Canis lupus familiaris: one gene and its partners. The main gene of each other region encodes a partner of the protein of the gene in region 3 in a complex. Links are inferred from orthologs where the notes say so. Each region holds a gene or a part of one and is shown on either strand. Other genes may lie near its edges. The genes, in order: NUMB, NEDD4L and YWHAH.

The links.
Region 1: the proteins of YWHAH (region 3) and NUMB are in contact, whole or in part, in a crystal structure (PDB 5YQG), measured with the Mus musculus proteins. The link is inferred for Canis lupus familiaris from reciprocal best matches to the Homo sapiens genes YWHAH and NUMB. Residues at the interface, in NP_035868.1 of Mus musculus: Arg57, Arg132, Tyr133, Leu177, Asn178, Val181, Glu185, Ile222, Leu225, Asn229; in NP_001129547.1 of Mus musculus: Gln274, Gly275, Ser276, Phe277.
Region 2: the proteins of YWHAH (region 3) and NEDD4L are in contact, whole or in part, in a crystal structure (PDB 7NMZ), measured with the Homo sapiens proteins. The link is inferred for Canis lupus familiaris from reciprocal best matches to the Homo sapiens genes YWHAH and NEDD4L. Residues at the interface, in NP_003396.1 of Homo sapiens: Arg12, Glu15, Asn39, Asn43, Leu44, Ser46, Val47, Lys50, Arg57, Lys125, Arg132, Tyr133, Gly174, Leu177, Asn178, Val181, Tyr184, Glu185, Leu221, Leu225, Asp228, Asn229, Leu232, Trp233; in NP_001138439.1 of Homo sapiens: Pro444, Arg445, Ser446, Leu447, Ser448, Ser449, Pro450, Thr451, Val452, Thr453, Leu454, Ser455.

What each region holds. Positions count from the first base shown.
Region 1 is NC_049229.1:46,933,489-46,941,303, forward strand, and holds part of NUMB (protein numb homolog), read right to left. Parts: intron 7,630-7,815; coding exon 7,555-7,629; intron 4,475-7,554; coding exon 4,334-4,474; intron 910-4,333; coding exon 705-909; intron 1-704. UniProt on the Homo sapiens protein: Regulates clathrin-mediated receptor endocytosis. Plays a role in the process of neurogenesis.
Region 2 is NC_049222.1:17,784,769-17,792,583, forward strand, and holds part of NEDD4L (E3 ubiquitin-protein ligase NEDD4-like), read right to left. Parts: intron 3,476-7,815; coding exon 3,344-3,475; intron 2,879-3,343; coding exon 2,759-2,878; intron 1,679-2,758; coding exon 1,481-1,678; intron 1-1,480. UniProt on the Homo sapiens protein: E3 ubiquitin-protein ligase that mediates the polyubiquitination of lysine and cysteine residues on target proteins and is thereby implicated in the regulation of various signaling pathways including autophagy, innate immunity or DNA repair.
Region 3 is NC_049247.1:25,199,707-25,207,521, reverse strand, and holds the end of YWHAH (14-3-3 protein eta), read right to left. Parts: intron 2,612-7,815; coding exon 1,958-2,611; 3' UTR 1,134-1,957; downstream 1-1,133. UniProt on the Homo sapiens protein: Adapter protein implicated in the regulation of a large spectrum of both general and specialized signaling pathways. Binds to a large number of partners, usually by recognition of a phosphoserine or phosphothreonine motif.

The DNA of each region.
Region 1 (7,815 bases), on a different chromosome or scaffold from region 3:
TTCTACAATACACTCAGACCCAACTTTGGACAACAGACTCCTGAGTAACTTGAATGCTTGCACAGGCATTTCTGCTATGCTGCCATGTATACCTGCAAAAAATTCACACTCTACAAAACCACACATTACAGTTAACATGGCTATGGGAAAAAGAAGGGTTAAGCTTCCCCAAAAAAGTCCCATCTATGGACTTTTTCCATGAAAGCACTAAAACACAGTAATTATCCAATAAGAAAGGTGTCACTATGAAATCTCTGCCCGTATTTGTACCCAGCATCACCATCGGTGGTGGGCCCTCTGCAGCCTGCAGCTGGAATGTATTTCTCCCTTTGATACTGTAATTCTTTGGTAGCATTTGCTTCTCACAGAGATCAGATGCATCAGAATTAGAAAGCTGTTTCAGGATGTAGATTTCCCCAATGTTTTTAAACATGGGGGGTAATAATGTCTTTGCAGCTTCTTCAACTGCATTCTCAGCCTTCCCAGACAGCTTCCAGTAATGGAAAGGGTAAACACTCTGGAAGCCATAAAACATGCCACTCTAAAGGAAAGGCTCTGTTTAGGTTTTTAGCTTTGTTCTGAAGGTCTTCATATATTGCTAAGAGTTCTCTCTGTGAGAAAGCTTACCCCTGTGAGCTTCCAAATATTAACCTGCTGGGGAAAATGGCTTAAATAAACACAAGTTGTAGCAGAAGAGACCATACCTTTCTTGGCATCTTGGATTTGTTTCATAATCTCCTCTCTTTCTGCTTGCTCGGTGGCTGTTGTGACACGGAATGATCCTTCTCTTGTAAAAGTGGTCCGACTGGCATCAAAAGTAGCAGTCACTCCACATTCCTTCTCCCGTTTCTGCTTCCGTTCTAAACAGGCCGCAAAAGCACAGCCTACTGCATGACTCAATCTTTCACCCTACACATAACAGAAGGTTGAAAAAAATTTTTTAGAGTTATAGTACCATCAAGTACAAAAAGCTTGGACCACAAATAAGTCTGTTTTTATATAAGGCAAAATGTTGGGAACCCCAGCTTAAAATTATAATTTAGTGTATCAATATGGCAAATTAAATGAATAAGTTCTCTTAAGTTATGCTTAGGGCACTTTACTGTAGTGGCACTGTGCTTTTACGAGCAACCACTGAGACCTTCTGATTAGTTAGGCTCCCTGTATCCCTCATGTTAGTTCTGGCCATCAGCTTAGAAAACACTACTCAAAGTCTGAAGCCCTAAGTCTTTTTTTTTTTTTTTTTTTTAAGATTTTATTTATTTATTCATGAATGACACACAGAGAGAGGCAGAGACACAGGCAGAGGGAGAAGAAGCAGGTTCCATGCAGGGAGCCCGATGTGGGACTTGATTCCGGGACTCCAGGATCACGCCCTGAGCCGAAGGCAGGTGCTCAACCATTGAGCCACCCAGGTGTCCCCCAACCTTTTAAAAAAAATATTTTATTTATTCATGAGAGACACACACAGAGAGAGGCAGAGACACAGGCAGAGGGAGAAGAAGGCTCCATGCAGGGAGCCTGATGCGGAACTCGATCCCAGGACTCCAGGATCACACCCTGGGCCAAAGGCGGCACTAAACCGCTGAGCCACCTGGGCTCCCGGGCTGCCCTGAAGCCCTAAATCTTGACATAAATCCTGCATTTGCCATTTAGGGGAACAGTGATAATAAGTATCAAGCATTTCTAAGAAACTCCTGGAAAGGCAGGGCAAGTTTTAGGAGCCTAAAAAATGTTAACATATCTAGGAACAAAAGATGCAAACTTAAAACTGTGGATAACTAAATACACCCCAGAGATGACACAGGAATTATAAAAAGGAAAGCTTAGCTTTCTCAGTCTCCCTTTTCTAAATGCTCCCCTCCCTAAGGCTCCTTCCCCATTCTAGGCCCTCATCGCTTTGATGCTTTTCCCCTTTCCCCTCCCTATCTTCTAGTTCTCTCTTACCCCAACATTCCCTCTCAACCACACATGGGGAAAAGTTAAAGCAGGTTTTTTTCCCACACTCCTATTTATAAAGGAATTAAACCGATAAAAATTATTTGTTTGTGCGTGGGAGGGGACAAGAGCTTATAGAAACTAAATATTGTTTTAAAGATACGCTGGATAACCAGAAGTAAATTTAATAAACTCAAAGGGTTATTTTTACCAGGGTTATCTGTATTTTAAACCCTATCCCTAATTGTGAAATTAAAAACAGTGAGAGATGGTATAGTAACTGTTGGCATCACTAACAGTGAGAAGAGATATTTGAGAACAGGGAGCCCTTTGTGGAATTTTCAAAATCACACCATGTAGACAGCTGCTCCTACATATGGATCTGAGCGAGTTAACTTCCCTGAATTTCATATACCAATATCAGATAGCATAGGAAGTAATGTCTGAAATGACTTTTGTCACTTGAATGTAAACTGTAAGATTTCACATAACTGCCTGTTTAAAAACTGACAGAGTTATTTTTATTCATCCACATGAGTTTCTGACTTCTTAGGAGGATGCTATTAAGGGTAGGGCACTGAAGCATGAACTAGGAGGGAGTACTGAAGTTTTAGAACCTGTCTGCATTTGTACAGCTTTACTACAAGAACAGAGCTACGCCCAAAGAAGTTTATTATTTTTCCTAGGCCTAGGGCAGAAGTTCTTGACAACAGATCCTTCCCAAACCCCAGCTGAGACCCCCTGAATTTTTTAAAAACTCTGAAGTGTCCCCAATTTAGTCTTCACAACTATTATCTCCATTTTATGGAAGTGGAAACTAAGGCCTAAAGAATGTTAATTAGAGACACCTGGGTGGCCTGAGTGGCTCAGCGGTTGAGTGTCTGCCTTCCACTCAGGCTCAGGGCGTGATTCTGAAGTTCTGGGATCAAGGGATCAAGTCCTGCATCGGGCTCCCGGCATGGAGCCTGCTTCTCCCTCTGCCTGTGTCTCTCATGAATAAATAAATAAAATCTTAAAAAAAAAAAAAAAAAAAAAAGGATTGTTAACTAATTTGTCCCAAATCACACAGTTAGTAAGAACCAGAACCAGGCCTGAAACCCAGATCTGTGTCAGGTCCTGGACTCTTAACAGTTTATACCACTGTCTTCAAAGAGCTTTGATTAACATTTTGGTGAATTTTAGAGTATAGCCACTACTTCCCTTTCAGATAAACCCAGGCAAGAGTTTTTAAGTTTATTGTAGCCTTCAGGTATGACTATCCTGCCTTACTCTACCTGGACTTCAAAAAACTCAGTAATTACAGTTACACACTCATGTTCTTCTATAGTTAAGATCATCACCATCTGAGAGACTTGTCTTTTATGTCAGAATTTTGGGTAATTTACATGAAAGATGATAGGTTAACTATTCTCTCTCTTTTTTAAAAAAGATTTATTTATTTAAGAGAGTAAGCCTGTTGGGGGAGGAACAAAGGGAGAAGCAGACTGCCCCCCCGGACAGGAAGCCTAAGGGCTTGATCCCAGGATAATGACCAGAGCTGAAGGCAGATGCTTAACCAATTGAGCCATCCAGGTGCCTCTACTTGTTCCCTATTTCTAAACAAAAATTTCTACTATGCAATAATTTCTGGCATACTTCATTGTACCATAATTTAGAATTTTTTTTTTTTAAAGTAATCTCTACCCCCAAAATGGGGCTTGAATTCATGACCCCAAGAATTGCATGTTCCACAGACTCAGCCAGCCAGGCACTCCAGTATTTCTATTTTTCAATTAACTGAAAAATATATTCCAACTCAGTTCTTTCATTTGTAGAATTCCTCTGCAAATATATTTATAAGCACCTTTAATGTCAATATCTTTTACCCAGATGCATTGGCAAACAAATATACATAAGCATCTTGAAAATACATATTTTTTAAAGATTTTATTTATTTATTCATGAGAGACACACACAGAGAGAGAGGCAGAGACACAGGCAGAGGGAGAAGCAGGCTCCATGCAGGGAGCCCGATGTGGGACTCGATCCCAGGACTCCAGGATCACACCCTGAGCCAAAGGCAAAGCCAACCACGGAGCCACCCAGGCCTCCCTTGAAAATAGTTCTAACAATGAAAAGTTTCAAGTAAAGTTTAGCAGCCACCCTCACCAGAGCACTTTTATTTTTTTTAATGACCCTGGATCTCAGCTAATCACCTTGCTCTCTGAGCTGCAGGGTCACACCAAGAGTGTGAATTACCTGAATAAAAGGAATGAAAGCAGGCTCGTTTAGGCACTTTCCAAGTGCTGTAAAAAAAAAAAAAAAAAAATGTAGTGGAAACTGCTTGGCTGAGCCAACCCAGGGGGAGTTTGGCTAGCTGAGGTTAGTTATGATGAAATCTACACTGTGGACTCACCGTGTCCTTGACAGCCATGAAGCAATGACAGATCCAGCGCCGAGTAGTGCCATCACGACATATGTAAGAGAAGGCTCTATCAAAGTTCCTATCTGGGGCACAGAAAGAAACTTTTTCTATTGTCTGGTCAACTATGAGGTCCTAGAAAAAGGGAAGCACAAAGGAATAGAGGATTTACAAGGTTATTCAAATTTCTCAGAATAAACACAGGATGTTCACTTCACAATATAGTCTCTAAAACTAATGCATTGAGACTATGAAATAACTAGATCTGAGGCTAGTAGTCTGTATACTAAGAATCTGATGTAGGAGAGATCCCAAGGGGCACATTGCCTAGATGCCTCTCTTACTTCATGTTCTAAAATACATGCTTGCTGATTTTTACTATTTTTTATCATAGTACATTCCATGTTCAATTTGATAGTATATGTAAATCAATATATTTCATCCAATTCCCATGTAACTTATATTAACTTACTGATTATTTAATTGTGAGTGTGACTTTTTTTATATATTTACTGAAAGGCAATGTATATTCACAGTATAAACATTACACAAAATGTTTCTCATTATTTATTTATTTTAAGGATTTTATTTATTTGAGAGAATGTGCGTGTGCATGGGGGGGAGGGGCAGAGGGACAGGGAGAAACAGACTACCCACTGAGCAGGGAACCCTGGGGTCATGACCTGAGCTGAAAGGTAGCTGCCTAACTGACTGAGCCACCAGGTGCTCCCACAATATGGTTTTTAAAGTCTTGAGGCTCTGAGACTCTTTTATGTGATATTCCAACAGCCAAGAATCCCTAGATACTGAGGTGGGACTTTAAGTGCTAAAACAATCAAACAAAATGGCTTTTATAAAGCATCACTATGAGAATTTCTGTTGCTCCACAAACTAGCTAATTTTTAAAATTTTGCAATTCTGGAGGCTCATTATGATTTTATTTTGCATAATCTTGGTTACTGTGAATTTCCTCTTTAGCAAAATGATCCTTCAAGTCTTTAGAATTGTCTGTCATTTTTCTTATTGATATGTAGGAGTTCTTTATATATTCTAAATATGAGCCCTTTATAGATTATATACATTGCAAAATTTCTTTTCCATTCATGGTGGGCCTAAGGGTGAGAAGTCACCAATTACTATTGTCACAAAATGTGGAAAGAACCAAGCTAATTAGTACCAATGCTATAAGTAGCCACCAGGGGGCAACATGACTTTTGAACTGGTACAAAACAAAACAGCCTCCAAGTACAACACATTTCATCCAAAACACTAAAGAAAACTATGCAAGTTCTTAACGCCAAGCTAAATGCTCACTGTTTCCAATAATAGTAGTAGTAGTAGTAATAATAATAATGATGATGATGATGATGTACATTTAAGACTACCACATCTTGAACTTAAAAAAAAAAGGGCCTTAGATAGAAGGTCAAAAGAACTAACACAACTATATTAAGTCACTTAAAATGAAAAAAAAAATGGTGGGAATGTGAATTGGTGCAGCCTCTCTGGAAAACTGTGTGGAGGTTCCTCAAAGAGTTAAAAATAGACCTGCCCTACGACCCAGCAATTGCACTGCTGGGGATTTACCCCAAAGATACAGATGCAGTGAAACACCGGGACACCTGCACCCCGATGTTTCCAGCAGCAATGTCCACAATAGCCAAAGTGTGGAAGGAGCTTCGGTGTCCATCGAAAGATGAATAGATAAAGAAGATGTGGTCTATGTACACAATGGAATATTACTCAGCCATTAGAAACGACAAATACCCACCATTTGTTTCAACATGGATGGAACTGCAGGGTATTATGCTGAGTGAAATAAGTCAATCGAGAAGGACAAACAGGGGCAGCCTGGGTGGCTCAACGGTTTAGCGCCGCCTTCAGCCCAGGATGTGATCCTGGAGTCCCGGGATCGAGTCCCACATCGGGCTCCCTGCATGGAGCCTGCTTCTCCCTCTGCCTGTGTCTCTGCCTCTCTCTCTCTCTCTCTCTGTGTCTCTCATGAATAAATAAATAATAAAATCTTAAAAAAAAATTAAAAAAAAAAAAAAGAGAAGGACAAACATTATATGGTCTCATACATTTGGGGAATATAAAAAATAGTGAAAGGGAATAAAGGGGAAAGGAGAAAAAATGAGTGGGAAATATCAGAAAGGGAGACAGAACATGAGAGACTCCTCACTCTGGGAAACGAACAGGGATGGGTAGAAAGGGAGGTGGGTGGGGGGCGGGGGGTGACTGGGTGACGGACACTGAGGGGGGCACTTAATGGGATGAGCACTGGGTGTTATTCTATATGTTGGCAAATTGAACACCAATAAAAAATAAATTTATACAAAAAATAAAATAAAATAAAATAAAATAAAATAAAATAAAATAAAATAATAAAATAAAATAAGTCACTTAAAATTTATCAGATAAGTTACCCATCAAAACTGCTCTTTACCTACCTGCCAGACTCTCTCCTCCTTTCAGTGACATATGAATTTTTTTGAAAAATTGCCTTCTTGTTAAGATTTCTCCAGGCTTTAGGTCTCTTAGGAAATTTTAATTATTAATTAAATGTGTTTATATAACACTTGATGCTCTCTAAGGTCAGAGTCTATGTCTCTGTCTTTAGGCACACAGGATAACTTTCTTTAAAATGCAAAATGCCATCTATGATATGAGATATCGTATAGGTTCTAAGTATATGTGCTGCTGAAGTGAGCACTGTGTAGATTCTAAGTAAAACTAGATGAACCATTTACTAGCCCTTAAGATTTCCCTTAAATTGTTTTTAGTTAAACAGCAGGTTAATAATTTCAAATACCACTTTCTAAGAACATAGTTCCCTTTATCAAGGAACAAAAAGAAATTTCAGATGTGATATTGTTTTTTGTTTTTTTAACTTTATAAAAGGCCCATCATGTTTTACATCAACTTTGTGGGGGATAAACATTTTCTTAAAATGTGTAAGAATAAAATCTTAACATTAAATGCAAATGCTTACTACACTAAACATGCTGTCATTTAGAATAAAAATGTTGAGAGAATTCTATTTTTCATAAGGTAAATGAATAACTAAATTTATTTCCTAAACACTAGTATCTCAGAAGATTGGACAAAGTGAAAGGCTACAGAATAACTACAGCAGCTTAGCAACATTATATTTGATCATTAGGGATAAAACAAACAAACATGAGCAGTAATATTTAAGCTTATAAAATGTTTACCTTAGTTTTTTCATCCACAACTCTGAGTCCATCTGCTGATACCCACAGGACTGCCTTAACTGCTTTTTTTCCAGTCTTTTAAAGAGAAAGCAAAAAAAAGGAAGGGGGAGACACACATATATAATATTAAAAAAAAAATGTCATCTTCTATAGAAAACACTGACTTCTGCCTTCCAAAAGTCACAAGTACAGATGGAGTCCAAGTTCAGGAGGGGTACCCAAAGCCAGATACTCAAACCAAACTGCAGAAACATTCAGGAA
Region 2 (7,815 bases), on a different chromosome or scaffold from region 3:
AAAGCGATGCGTTAGTATATGCCTTAGGAGTAGTTATGAGTTTACTAAATGAGTGTTGCCGGATCTCAATGATAAATTCCCCCTTACTTCAGAAGAGGAAGAACTCTTAGAGTGGTTCTCAATAATAAGTGAGGCCATGGGGGGCATTTTTGGTTATCCCTATGGTGGTGAGGGGCTGGGGAGGAATGGTGGCCGTCAGCCTTCAGTGGCAGGAGCCAAGGATGCTGGATGCCCTGCGATAAAAGGCATAGCCTTGCCCCAAATACAGAGAATGTCATCGTGGAGACATGTTGTAGCACCATCCACTGGATTTCAGAGGGTGAGCCCGTTAGGGACTAAAGGAACACACAAGTCCAGGCCACGTTGGTCCAGGCCTCTTTCTTACACAATACTACCGTTCTGTCAACTGTGCACGCTTGGTATCTTCACTAGAAATGGGAGTCCAAAGCATGTGTTCGCTGCTAGCCCAAGACCAAATGGCTGGGCCAGGGACAATTGCCCGGACTCAACCAGCTTTCACACACCGTCAGTTCTGAGCAAGCAGCACAGATGACAGAAGGGCAGAGTTAAGCTCTGTACCCAGAGAATCAGACAGGGATACAAGCGACAGGAAGAGCAAACCTCCCATAGCATCAGAAATAGAAACAAGAATACCGAGTTTGGTTTGGTCATAAGTCTAGAGATCACACAGCAGAAACATACCACTGGCTTCTAAAAGAGAACTGCACGCTCTGCTAAGACAGACACCACTAATTTAGCTGGAGGAATGAAGAACTGACCCAGACATGGAGAGAGATGCGTATGCACCTCTGACTACTCTCATCGTGCTCACTAATACAACACAGATCCTTTCTCCTATAGGATTCAGCGCCACATGGAGGAGCAACACGATCAGAAAAATCAGTTTTGACAAAATGTTCACACACAAAAAAGCTATTAAATGTACAACCAAAGTCCTCAGTACATCTCTCCACCCATAATTAAAGGAATGAGACAGAGCACAGGAGTGTAAAACACGAATCTGACGTGAACAGTGAAGATGACAAGGACAAATCAAAGATGATAATGTCAATAGAAATGCAAAAAGAAACTGATGAGGAGAAATGATTAAAAAAATATTAGGACCCCCTAACAAAGTTACAGCATCATGGAAAATGAAGCAGGGACATCGAATTCCTGGCCCTGGGGAGCCACTACACCTTTCTTCCCAATATGGTAAACTGTCAGGACTAGAACTTTCCAGGGGTCCTACGAAGAAAAGGAACCCAGCCTGGCACCAAGCCCAGAGGTAGCCACGAGCCTGCGCCCAGAAGCCACCCTCCCCCCACCGGCCCAGATGTGCAGAGTCCAGATGTAGGCCGAGGAGGTCCCCTGGGGCCATGCTTCGGCTCAGTGAAATTCCTCTCCGAGAACTAGGAAATCCAGGAAGCAATGCCAGACCTCATGATGAAAATGGAACCAAATAAAAGCACAGCCTTACCCACGTTGTAGTCTTTGTGTTATGGTCAATGAAGAAGGGCCGGCCGTTGGGCGCTATCCTCATTTCCCAGCCGGGCGGCAGGAAGCTCTGTGTGACTTTGTGTTGTGGTTTGGGGGAGTTGTAAGGTGATGGCTGTGGGGACTGTGGATTGGAAAGGGTATCTTTCACAGCCCGACGTATGGGCGAATCCTTGGCACCCTAAGGAATAATAACGAGCATTAGAACTCTTACCAGCTGCTATTCCGGGGGGAGGGTCAAAATGTACCTGGGTACACAGGGACACTGCTCTCTGAAGAGGTACAAGGGAGAAGCTCTAAAACCCGTTTCTGTCATTCATCTACTTTTCAACCCATCTAACTTTAAAGTTTTCTGGTTGGTTAAACACATGACAATATTAAGTACTTATACCCAAGGTCCGTGGACAGCTATTCAGTGCGCACCCCAAGTATTGTTCTGTATTGAACGTTACGGATGGAAATTTTACAGAGGGTGGAGAAACACATGCCCCTGCTCTTAATGAGCTCACAGTCTAATGAAGAAGGGGTTGGCAATTTTTAGAGCACAGAAAGCAAAACCCGTACCAACAGAGACAGCCGTCCGGACCAGCAGGTTGCTACCCCCCGGCACTCCCATCCCAGTTTGGAACAGACCCCATCGGCTCCCAGCCAGCAGCATCGCAGACCCAGGGAACGGGCCCGCAGCTAGGTCTGAGACACCGTCAAGCTCAGAACTTCACACACTTGCTCTCTGGCTTCTCTAACTCTGACGTTTGTGATGCGAAGGGATGGCAACAACACCACACAAACAGAAGGCACCCGCAGATGCCCCGCAATGGCTTCGAGATGTGCGTGTGCATCAGAAACACATATGCCCGCACGGTGACAGGCCCTACCGTCGAAAGGAAAAGAAAAATGATCAAAGCGACAGCTATGTTTGGAAACGCAACGTAAGCATTGGTATCGGCAAGAGTTCGTGTGCAAGTCAAGAGCGAAACACAAGGAGAGATGGAGAGTGTCCGGCAGAGGGGCGCCCCCTTCGGGCACAAGGAGCCGCGGGGGCAGCCGAATGAGAATGGGGATCAGAGGGGGGCAGTCCACGGGTGCGAGCCGGGCGGCACAGAGAAGCATGAAGGAAGGCTGCACGACAACACCACGACCCATCAGAGAGAGAGGGGAGGGGGGGACAGGGGGCTGCAACCACTCAAACCCAAGTAAGATGAGCAAGGAGATGAGAAGTCCCGGGAGGGGGTGAGCCGGTGAGCCGATGAGGCCTTCTCACCTCCAGTGGGGCAGATAAGGTTACGGTCGGCGAGCTGAGGCTACGGGGCCGGCGGATCTGAGGCTCGATTAGGTGGTTGTTACTGTTTGTGGCGGATCCGGACGCACCGTCTTCGGCGAGCTATTTCGGAGGCAAAAACAAGTTAGCTTGGCAGGAGGAGGACTCCTGTGCGAGTGATGAGGAGCGTGGACCCAAACAACGTAAGCCAGCAATAATAAGAGGGCTGGCCTATTTCAAGCGTGGAGGAAAATGATTAAACATAATAATGGGGGCAACGATCGAGAAGTACAGTCAAAGGAAATAGAAATGAATCACTAGCCCAGCGTAAACGCCAGCCTCAGAAATCAAGGGAGAGAAGCTCCACCCTGGGACGGGCTCCCTAAACCGTGTCTAGGGGTGGACTGGCTTGAGGACCGAATTCTTCCTCCGGCAAATACTAGGCTTAGAGTTCCCATCTTCTCTGTGAGAAACATGATCTTAAACACGGGTTCTTTCAGAACAATACATTCACCTCGGGAGCACCGAGCTCACATACGTTTGGGCTTCTACAGCCTGTGATTTTAGGTTGTAGGACGATCTGCGTACCTGCATGATAGGTCGAGTCCAAGTTGTGGTTCGATTGTTATGATTGACATAGTATGTGCGTCCCTTAGCATCTTTTCTTTCTTCCCAGCCTGAAGGTAGGCCCGGCGTGGTGTGTGCATAGGCCACTGATGGCTGTTTGTGTAAGAAATCATTATTATTTAATATCCTGCATTTTCTTTTTGATCAGTTTAATAAAAGTAATGTACACGCAGAGAGTTACTAGACCAGGTAACTTAATTTTACTTGTACCAAAAACATTAGCGTCTGGAAAAAAGGCAATTGATTTCCAACGGCTTCCAATCTACTGTGAGATGACCCCCACACAGCCACAAGGTCCAAGATCTTCTAAGTCAGTGGTAAAACCCTGAAGTCTTAAACATAAAGGGTCGTGGCTAACATGATCCTAAGAGAAACGTACAATCTGTTTCAGTTACTAGATTTTGCTGTCAAGCCACAGAGAGTTTCAAGGTATTTTAAACTGTCCAATGTCACCAAGAGAGGGATGCTTTGAATAGTTTTTTCCTCAATAGAGTTGCCACAGAGATGCTCTCCTAACTCCCAAAGTCTTCCTCAGCTTAGAGCCCTTCCACTACAGCTTTCAGGGAGGAAAAAAAAAATACAGTCTCCTCTCTAGGACGGCTGTATTCGCGCCAGGGCACACGGTCATGAGGACCGACCAGGACAGCTCAGCGGCCCCAGTCGGGAAGCCACTGGGCAACGTGAGGTCAGAATTCCAGAAGAACACGCAGTTCGTGGGTTTGAGACATGTTCAGTATAGGGCGACTGGATCTGCAAAGTCCAAATTAGATTGCAGAAGGATTCCTGGGACACTTTTGCTTGTAGGGGGCAGTCTGAGAAATGCGGTCTGGGTGGAGAAACACTGGACCAGCAAGCGTGTTTCAGTGACTCAGAAGACAAGGAGACGGACGTCTGAGGTCCGTGCTGTCCCGAGAAGTGCTGGGCATGTGGACGCTGCATATAAGATCTGTAACTGAGAAAAGGGCGCTACCCCTACCCTCAGGGCGGGGACTCAGAATTACAAGCCAACTATGGCCACCAAGGCTCCTGGGAGAATGTAAAAGCAGCGAGAGGCCACACCTCAGGAATAATCTCTTACACGAGGTGACAAAAGGAAGCCACTTCTTTTGGGGCAACAGGCTTCCCTAATTAGGATCTTGTGAGCCTCCAGGTGGTTGACCAGGTGGATGTCAGGGCGAGGATGTCAATCTCTGAGCCCAACTCCTCTGTGTGCGCCCTGTCTTTGACAGTCACCACCAAGACTGTGCTGGGGCAAGGAGGCCACAGAGCGCCCCCTGGTCTCCTGCAGGATCGAGAACTAGAAAAAGCACGCTTAACCATCCTGCCATGTAATTTGGGGACTTCAGTTAATGAGGCTCAATACTCTACCCCATAAGCTAGATAGCACGTTCCAGAGAGAAACTGAGCCACGGAGCAGCTGCCTCAACGGTTATTTCTAACACATTCACCATGCCCTGCAAGACTATTTGTAAGAGGACTTTCTGCTAAAACGACAGTAACTATTTTCTTGATGGTTTTCCAGATTAAGTCCCGAAGGCCCTGAAATGGGAATTCCAAGACTGAGAGACCCTATGGGCTCTGGATCTAGGTGTGAGGCCACTACAGGAGCGGAACGGACCTGGACATGCAGGCCTGATCCTTCCGTGAGTGAAGACAGATGAACTCGTCCATAGCCTCAAGCTCTTACCGCCTCCTTCCCTGGCTGAAGCACTAATCCCAAAGAGCTCTTTCTAGGCTACTTTTCATCCAGGCACTACAAAAACTGGACTCTGCTGAACTAAGTCAGAACCCACACTGTAACCTAAGTGGTCAGTTTGCATTTTTGGCAAAGCATGAGCTATCAATCCTTGACCTACTATTGCTTATCTGATAACTAAAACTGCTTGGGCTCAGTGGAATGCTCGCTACATGGAATCTGTTGGTTTTCCTCCTCCCGGTTGAGTTAGGTTTTGGGAATGGAAATCAGATATGTGCTCGGAGAGCTCTGTTCTGGAAACCATCAGGATAAGGTTAAAGTGACAAAATCCCTGGAAAGGATGTTGATGGGGAGACATCGTAAACTAAAAGAACATGATGTGCATGGTTCATCTCAGAATCAGATTCAAAAGCTGCAGACCCTCCAGTCCAGGTTCCTCTCACAGCTCCAGTTAATAGGACTAATCAGTTTCTGGGAACCAAGAGTATAGAGGAGAATATGGATTTTGATTAATACGCTCATTATGCCTTCTATTGAGAATTGAATTGGCAACCTACAATCTAGTTCCATTTACGGGATATGGTGTTATTAAAATATTTCTTTATAGATTTCTAAGTGACCAGGGATAACAACTTGTGCCAACAACTGCATTTGTGACTCTAACACTGTTCTCCACACACAGCAGGGGAAGAGGCAGGACTCAGCTTCTCCCGGTAGATTGTGCAAGAGATCCAGCCCTAGAGCCGAAATCAGATTTCTCCTGCTATGTGTGTGTGTATTCACGTGTGCATTCCATACGACCTCAAGAGGCAAGTTAATTAATCAAGAGACAAACTGCTAGGCAGCTCAATTTAACAATTTCCCAGCTTTTCATCTAAATATACTATCGTGCTCTGCACTGCCAAATAGCCAGTTAACTACAGCTTCCTAGTGGTTCCATTTATTTCATTAAGATGGATAAATCAATTATGCGCAAACTGTAAAAGTTTCAATATGCTTTTAAAGATGACAATCAGTTTGGTACCATTACAGATTCTCCAAGATTCGTTCAAACCCTACTATACCATTAACTCTGTATTTTTAGGTATATAACAGCAAAGTCCAGAAGGATTGTACTCTCTCTCTCCTTTTATCTCAGAGACAGCTTCTGCTTAGCCAGCTGGAAAGTGACACCACTTTTCAAATACAAAGTATTATTTGTGTGTATACAACCAGTATGTATTCCTAAACCAAAGGGTCATGGTTCCACAGATGACAATCAGGGGTTGTTCATTAATGCTACAAGAATAAAAGCACTACCATGGAAAGAGATGTACACCAGGATGGTTAACGCAACATGGTGTGTAGTGCCCAGGGGGTGGGGGTGGAGCTGAATGTTCATTGATGGGGGATAATTATAGAAATTGAGGTGCATTCCCATCACCGAGTATTACGTAATTATTAACAGGTCCCAGGGGAAGGACCACAAGTGAAAAACACTAGGTTGCTAGGTGATGTGTATATGAGATCCCAGTTTTGGTGTGTCCACACCATGCATGTTTGTGGAAGCACAGGCGTTGGAGTGAGAGGCTACGTTCCAGGGTGGCCCCAGGACAAGAGACGGTACACATCAGTATGGGGCTGACACGCAGGGGTGGGGTAGGGGCAGGGGCAGGAGAGGGTATAAAAGAGGGGGAAAATATGATAAGAGATGGAACTGGAAAACATACTTTCAAAATTGTCTGGTTTCTGATGTAGCCATTGGATAAATTGGCTTACTGCAGCAGAAAGATCCCCAGGTACATGGGAAGCATGAGAATAGGTAAAAGCGTTTAGGAATGACTACTATCTGGTCTTTAAGAACCAACAAAACCAAACTCATGTTTTTAATTCATCGTTGGGCGAGGGGGAGGGCACAGGCAGGCAGAACACAGCAGTGGTAGGGCCACAGGACCTCATTTGGATGGGTCACGCTGTCCTGCCAAATACCTCTCACCATGGAGCCCAGTGCTCTCATAATTCAGTTTACCCTGTCACTTAATATCCCTCAGCTATCACAACGCTCCAATGTGGACAAGATTCCCGGGTTCCAATAAAATGCAAAAATGGATGGTAGAGAATGCTCATTAGCCCTGAATTCTATTAAAATTATTTAATGAAATGATCTTGTCTACCTTGCAGCTCTACTTCTGGTAGAATTTACTAGCACACAGTAGGAAATATGCCAATTCATTTAGAATTTCTTTAATTCTACTGGAGGCTGAGGCCTGGCCACCCCAACACAGGATTTTCACATAAATCACTATCGTTCAATACCTTACAATGGGCTCATTTTGGCACACTGCCAATTTGATTTTCCTGTGCACAATGCTGAGCATTAAATTCTAACAATATGACTAAATTATTCCTTTAAGTCCACATCCTGCATAAAAATCAGCAATTGCATGTGTATTTAAAGGTATTCTCAAGTAATAAGCAGTTATAACAAACCTAACAATGGTGACACAATAAGGAAAATTCTTCAAAGAGCGACAGCAGCTCGATGCATAAACTCAAAAGCTAACATGTCTTTAGGGGTCAAGCAAAAACCAGGCAATTAGAGTACATAGTCCTATTCAAGTTACCCAAAACCATGAATACTAAAAATTATTTAAAACAATGAGTAAGAATAACAGATACTTGGCTCAGAAAAACTTATTTTTTTTTCCTAGACCGTTTAAACTTAATTATATTCCCTCCTTTCTCTCCCCAAATTATA
Region 3 (7,815 bases):
TAACCACTTTAGCAATTAGGACAACCTGAAACAGGCTTTCTAGTATGTTAGGAGCACATGGGTCATACCTCTACTTCAGGATAAGCATACAGGGTAAACTTCTAAGGCTTAGAAGGTCTGTGCTCCACCACAATCGAAGCTCAAGGACAGAGACTGGATCATGGCCATTCTCACCAATCCAGTGTCAAGCTTTAGTCAAGATTAAGAAAGGTATCTTAACACCTTTGTGAAATTGAACCAATCCACTTAACAAGCACGTTTGGTTCTGGGCACCAAGTTGCAGAACTGCGAGGGATTCGAGGGGTTCGAGCCCCTATCACCAGAGAATGAAGTCTAGCTAGGGATGCTAAGCCTCAAGAGAAGCCTTGGATCCCTAGGTGGCACAGCGGTTTAGCGCCTGCCTTCAGCCCAGGGCGCGATCCTGGAGACCCGGGATTGAATCCCACATCGGGCTCCTGGGGCATGGAGCCTGCTTCTCCCTCTGCCTGTGTCTCTGCCTCTCTCTCTCTCTGTGTGACTATCATAAATAAATAAAAGTTTAAAAAAAAAAAAAAGAGAAGACTTGGGGTAGACAGATGGGAGAGAATTTAAGGTGTCTAGCCTTTTCCTTTTTTAAGTGCAGATGGAAGTTCTTCTACTTTAAAGAATACTCAAAGTTTTTTTTTTTTTAACTAAACCTTATTTCAGGAACCCATTTTATTATATCTAATAAAGGGTATGAAGAAAATGAGGACATGTATGACACGGTATCTACCTTGAGTGTTAAATATCAACCAACATTTCAGTAGGGTGGGTCAAGCTACACCTTCCCAAGTTAAACAAAGGTTTGGCCTTTCACCAGATCAGGTGCTGTACAGAGGAAGACTGAGCATTTTGGTCTGTTCAGCTTCCATACTAGAAGCACCAGTTATCAGGAAGAGTGGATGAGAGGCCATGTGGAATGGTTTCACAGAAAACTGAAAACTCATGAGTCTTATGTGTATACTGCAAAATGTGTATTGGAATCAGAGAGCAGGAAAACCTACTGTGCTAAAAATGCTTCGGTGCTTGAAACTAAAACCAGGATTCAAAATGGTAACCTGGTAAGAGAGCTCCTTGAGAGGGGGGGAAATGAAAACCACACATAGACAGAATATCCCCAAAGCAGCATTTATTTACCCACTGAATTCCAAAACATTTAATTTAGAAGTCTGGCATTTCATAATCACCCATCTTGATTGACGTGGGCTGACACACATGGCGCTGTCAGGATACACAAGGACAATAGCCAAAGAGTTACAAAAAATAAATCCATGATTCTTAAACAATCGCAACCAAAAAAAAAAAAAAAAAAGTTACAGGTATCAAAACTTTAGATGCATTGCATTGAAAAAGAAGGTTTGTGCACATCATAATTTAAAGAGGCAAAACAAGGCGCTACTGAAACCTCACGTTAAACAGTTTCTTATAAAGTTGATGGAAAGGAGCAAGTGGTCTCTTTTTAATCAGCTTCCCTTAACAGTTTTCCATTAGCTGAAGAAAGAGGTGGGAGGGGTGAATTCATTTTTTGCATGCACAAGATGTACTGCTTAACAAAACACTATCAGCTTGTTTTAAATGGATCATTTAAATATCAACTGTAGCCTATGTTGGCTAACTCTCCTTTCTAAACTTCCCCATTGCTTTTGCTTGGATTTCACATAGATCAACAGGCATAGTAGAATGCCTCATTCAGAACGCACTTGTCTGCACAATTCGGAAAAAGGGAGCCCCTGTGGGCTTAAAGCAACCATCAATCCAGCAATGCCCATGAAGATTTATCTGAAACTGCTTCCCAAAGGGCAGGAGAGCAGCTCTGAGTAGCTGTGCTGCCAATACAGATAGGTTTAGCACTAGATATTTAGTGATTGTGGCAAGGAAGAATCAGTGATGATGGGGGGTGGTGGGTGAAGGGAAGGGCCTAAGACCCGAAGACTCTTCAGTTGCCTTCTCCTGCTTCTTCATCCTGCTGGTCGCTCGTCCAGAGGGTGAGGTTGTCTCGCAGCAACTGCATGATGAGCGTGGAGTCCTTATAGGAATCTTCGTTTAGTGTGTCCAGCTCAGCTATGGCATCATCGAAGGCTTGTTTGGCTAAGAGGCAGGCCTGCTCGGGTGCATTCTGGATCTCATAGTAGAACACGGAGAAATTGAGGGCCAGACCCAGCCGGATGGGGTGCGTTGGCTGCATGTGCTCTTTGCTGATTTCAAAGGCTTCTTTGTAGGCAGCCTCAGAAGCTTCGACCACACTGTTTTTCTTCTCCCCGGAAGCTACCTCTGCCAAGTAGCGGTAGTAATCGCCTTTCATTTTCAGATAAAATACCTTGCTCTCATACTGGAAATCATTGCAGTTCTTGATGAGGAACTTGTCAAGCAGAGCCAGGACATCATTGCACACTGTTTCCAGCTCCTTCTCAATCTTCTCCCGGTAAGCTTTAACTTTCTCCAATTTCTTTTCGTTTCCATCAGCCATGGTTTTCTGCTCAATGCTGCTGATGACCCTCCAGGAAGATCGCCTGGCACCAACCACATTCTTGTAGGCCACAGAGAGGAGGTTTCGATCTTCATTGGAAAGAGGTTCATTGAGCTCTGTCACCTGCAAAATCCCCAAAAGATAAACACTAAGATTCAAATCCAAAAATCTTAGAAAGATGAGGTTCCTTTGAACCTCATCAGCAACCAGCACAGACAAGCTAGAGACAAACCAGTCAGACATAGATCCTGTCTGAAAGAAGACTGTAGTCTAAAAAGAAGAATAAATACTTGAAATAAAATATTCAGTGATAAGGGATTTGAGAAATTCATAATTCAGGTCTTTTAAGGTGTTGCCTTCATCTTGCAGAGGTTTGGGGATAAAGACAATTATGGAAAAATTGTGGTGGTACCTAGTGGGGGATGAAAAACCCCTGAGGTTCAGTTATTCTGCAAAAGGTATTATATCAAGAGTTAAGATCGTACAATTCATTTGCCAAATCATTAGTGACAGTAACGTGTCCCTAGCCGCTGCTCAAAGGAAGCAAAGTTCCTCAGCTATAAGCTCTACTTTGACCTACCTAACAGGAAACCCTGACCGGCCATCAAGGATGGAAGCATCAATTATGTTAAGGAGAAATGTTAAATTTTACAAGCTGTAACTTTCTTTAGGTAGTTCATGATGCCAACTCCAAGCAAGCCAGCTATGTATGTAATACTAAGGGCGCTGGACTTTGTTGTGTTGTTGAATTGTGTCTCCCAATGTTACACTGAAGTACTAACCCTTGGACCTGTGAATGTGACCTTATTGGGGACAGGACCTCTACAGATGTAATCAAGTCAAGATGAGGTCATCCTGTATTAGGCTAGATCCTAAATCCAGTGACTGGCGCCCTTATAAGGAGTGGGAGATTTGGAGACACACAAACATAGGGAGAATGCCATGTGATGATGGAGGCAGAGATTGGAGTGATGTGTCTATCAGCCAAGAAACACCAAGGATTATCAAGAGCCACCAAAAGCTAAGAGAGAGGCAAAGGTTCTTCCCTAATGCCTTCAGGAGTACAGCCTGCTGACACCTTGATCTTGGACTTCTAACCTTCCCAAATGCAACAGCATAATTTGCTGTTTTAAGCTACCCAGCGGGCAGACCCGGTGGCGCAGCGGTTTAGCGCCACCTGCAGCCCAGGGGTGTGATCCTGGGGACCCAGGATCGAGTCCCACATTGGGCTCCCTGCATGGAGCCTGCTTCTCCCTCTGCCTGTGTCACTGCCTCTCTCTCTCTGAATAAATAAATAAATAAATCTTAAAAAAAAAAAAAAATAAGCTACCCAGCGTGTGGTACATTTTTTGGCAGCCCAAGGAAACTAATACAGACCTAGAATCAGAAAAACCTGGGTCTGTGGTCCAGGAAAGCCACGAATTTTCTAAACTGCCCTCTATAAAGTAGGGGAATTCCTTAATTATGACTTACCGGTAAAGGTCTTTAATTTTCAGAAAAAAAAAAGAAAACTCTTAGGAAACCATAAAACACTCAACAAAGAAAAAAGAAATTCCTGAAATTGAGGGACAGGGGGAAAAGCCAGGTTCAGGGGAGAAAGTTATTAACAGCATATCAAAACAGACATGCTTTAACATGGATTGAAAGACTGAGCAGTGGAGAATCAGAAATTCTAAAAAAGATCAAAAAAATTAATTCAAGAACATAAGCAACAAATATAATCATTATGTGTAAAGGCCACATTCTTCATTGTCTACCAGCAACACCTTCCCCAATAAAAATACCAATTTTATCTTCTAATTTTCCTATTTCCCTGGCCCCAGCACCCCTACTCTTTTGCTGCAAATCCCCAGCCTGGATTGTCTTTCCTCCTCTGCCTACTCAATCAACCCAACCCCACTTTGTTCTTCAGGGTGGTCTTTGGCCACAGGCTGCCTCTGCCCATCCCCAGGAGGGCTGCCTACATACCAGGTTCCTCATTCCTCCTCACACAGATGTGAGTGGTCCCCTCACTTTTTCTAGGTTATCTGCCCCAGTCCTGGGTAATCTTCTAACCCCAAATCCACGCTCCCTTCAAATCCAGGTGAAGACCTGTAACCCTATTGGTTTTCTCCTCCAGGGAGTTTCTTCAAACACTCCCATTTGTTTACTGGGAATATAGAGACTTTATAGATACTTGTTAATTTGGTCTTTTAAGAAAGAACCCTTATCAATCAAAATTCCGACTTTGATCCTCTGACAAATCTCAGATTGTTGAATCCTCTCAAATGAGTCACTTTTTCCAGGACAATATTCAGTAAAACAGAAGGCAAGCACACAACTAAGAGTTTCTTAGATCCTGCAGTAAATGTATCTAAGGGCACTTGACATAAAAGTGCAAATGATATCCATAAGGAGTCACTAAGATTTCACCCTGTGGCTAATAAAGCTGCTTATCAGATTGTCACAAAGAAATATCAACGTAACTCCCCAGAGTGTATCTTTAAAATTGAGTGTATATGTGAAATATCTTTACATATCACACAGGGTGTTTGTACAATGGACAGTATCATTACTAAAACAAAAGCAAAAACAAAAACAAAACAAAACTAAGAAAGCTGTGGGGTTTAGCCTGAACTAGCTATATGACGCTGTCTGGGGATCAGAAGTAACCTAAGGGCCAATGGCCTAAATGATTTCCAAGGACCTCTTCAGTTCTAATATTCTAGGATTCCATTTTTCCTGAGCAAAATAAAAAGGTGTGGGAAGGCATGAGGTTGTTATCAATGTAAATGAAATTTAGTTGTATCTGTGTTTCAAGAATTCATGCAGCCCTTCTGCATCAGGAATAAACTACCCAAAAAGGCTACTGGGCAATATGTATGACACCTTCACAAGAAAAATCATTTACTAGGAATATTAGTGTTTATGTAACAATCATCTGGGTTCCTGCCAGTCTGAATGAATCACTATCAGCATCAGCTGAGTGTGACTAACAGCTAAGCAAGCATTGTTCTTAGAACCCAGCCAGGCCCTAACTAGGAAAAAACTGGATACGTTTAAATAGTACTTTTAATACTCTTGAGTTACAACTCAGTTAAGAAAGGGAAACTTATGGGAGGAAGATCATTACTTGACTGGATAACGAAAGGAAACTGAGCTTTCCCTAGATTGGAAAAGTATAGACTGAGGCGAAATCAGATGGCCTATTAAAACAAACAAGATTTGCAGCCAGTCTTGATTGGTGATACCTAGGACAAATAACCTTTATTAGTATTAGTCAGCATCAGTTCCCAATATTTCCAATTCCATACTGGAGGTAGGAAAGCGAAGGAATAGTCTGGACACACACTAAGAGCAGCAGACACTGGGAGGCAATGTAGTGCAATGGAAAGGAAACAAAAACTACTAGTCCCAACCACACGGATACTAAAGCAGCTGGATGGTCACCTGCATGCGGTAGTCTACGGAGATGATTTAGTGCAGCTTTACAATTTCAAGTTTCCAAATGGTTTCTAACTGGGAACATGAAGCAAAAACAAGACAGAATTTTCAAGACAGACCTGCCCAGTGGTTCTCAATCTGCTCTCTACTCCAACCAGTTTCAACACACCCTCATTTCTGCCACACATCAGCTACCCTCAGGGCAGCCAGCCATTCCAGACACTAAGTTCATGCGGCTGCACCACTCTAACAGGCTTCTCACTTCTGTTCACAGCCTTTCTGCCTTCCTGTTTGCCTGCCCACCTCCCACCCCACTTAATCCCACTTACAGTCTCTGAAAACCTTAAGTCACCAGACCAGTCCCCATTTAAAAAGGCCCATCTCTCCACTTCCTTTAAGGATTGGACTCCAGAAAAAAAAAAAAAAAAAAAAAAGATTGGACTCCAGGCCAGGCCAGCCATCTGACTGATGTCCATACCATACTGCTGCCTTTGGCTGCACCAGCTCCCAGCCAGGGGGTGGGGGTGGGTACTCATTTCACCCCATTTCCTCTGCTCTGAGACTACACAGCAGTACTAAGTTACAAATAACCTGATAGGCTACTAACTCATCTATCTTCCTATGACACCATTCGCTTACTCAAAAATCCCTAAGGGCCTCCTCCCACTAACTCACCAGGCAATAAACTATGTGTTTGTGAGTAAAAATAGATCCACTGCCAAAAATAGCACAGGGACTATTTGGGAAACTTAAAGTTCTTAATCTGGGAAACATTCAACTTCAAAAGTAATACTGAGCAAACAAAAAACGCCACCCCTGGACTGCCAGGCCGCATCACTAAAGTCAGGGTAAATGTTACTTCTGAAGGGCACTCCCATCCTTTATAGCCCATCTTTTATACTTTTACCCACACCCACTTGCTACCAACAAGCCTGCTTTTGATAGAAGAGTTTACAATGGGAGAAAATAATTCTCAGGAACAATTAGGTAAACATATTCACAGCATAAAATCTTCAAGCTTCTTTGGCAGAGTCCTGTTATTTAAAAAAAAAAAAAAAACATGAGGCAGGGGATGAAAGTTTTGGCAGACTCTTCCCAATTTACTACCTTCAAAGTGAGGACTGCCTAGTCCCAAGCTGGTAAAGTACCCATCTGTCACCACTTGCCCAGGCCTGGAAAGACTGCTCCCTGTCCTCACCAGGGTGAGGGTGCAGTTCTAGAAAGCCAAAGAGAAGCTACACTTCAAGCTTAGAGCAGTTGAGTTCAGGTAGTTAATGTCCACTCAAAGCTTAACATTAGTCAAAAGAGCCACCTTTGTATCATGGAGAGACTGCCTTTTCTTCCTCTTGACAAAACTGAACATTTTTGTAGGAATTGGCAGGGATTAAATACAAGCCATCTGAATGGCATTACTGCATGCTACCATCCCTGGAGGCAGCAGCACCAAAAGCTTCAGAAGCTATGCCAGGTTCCGATGGCAGGGAAGTGCCACCACCCCCGACCCCGAGGGAAAAGCCACTGCAGCCAGGAGCAAAAAGAGCACCCGGGGGGGGTGGGGTAGAAGACAGGTGGCTCCAACCTGGATACTGGGAGGAATCTTACCAATAACCCAGCTAATGAAATGTTAGGACTCATCAGCTTATAAAATGTACTTAAAACTTGTGCCAAGCAATTTCTTAAAATACCCCAAGTACAACTTAACATAGTTCTGCACTTCTTAATTCATAGCAAGAATTCAAATTCAATTAATACTTTGCTTCTTAAGCTTAAGAAAAAAAAAAAAAAAAAGACAACTCCTGTTCTTCAGGAGAACAAGCAAATCCCATGTGTTAGACTGCCTTTTACACTCCCCTGCTATAGCTAAGAACCACAGTGGTAGATTCTGTTTGAAGTCAAACCTGGCA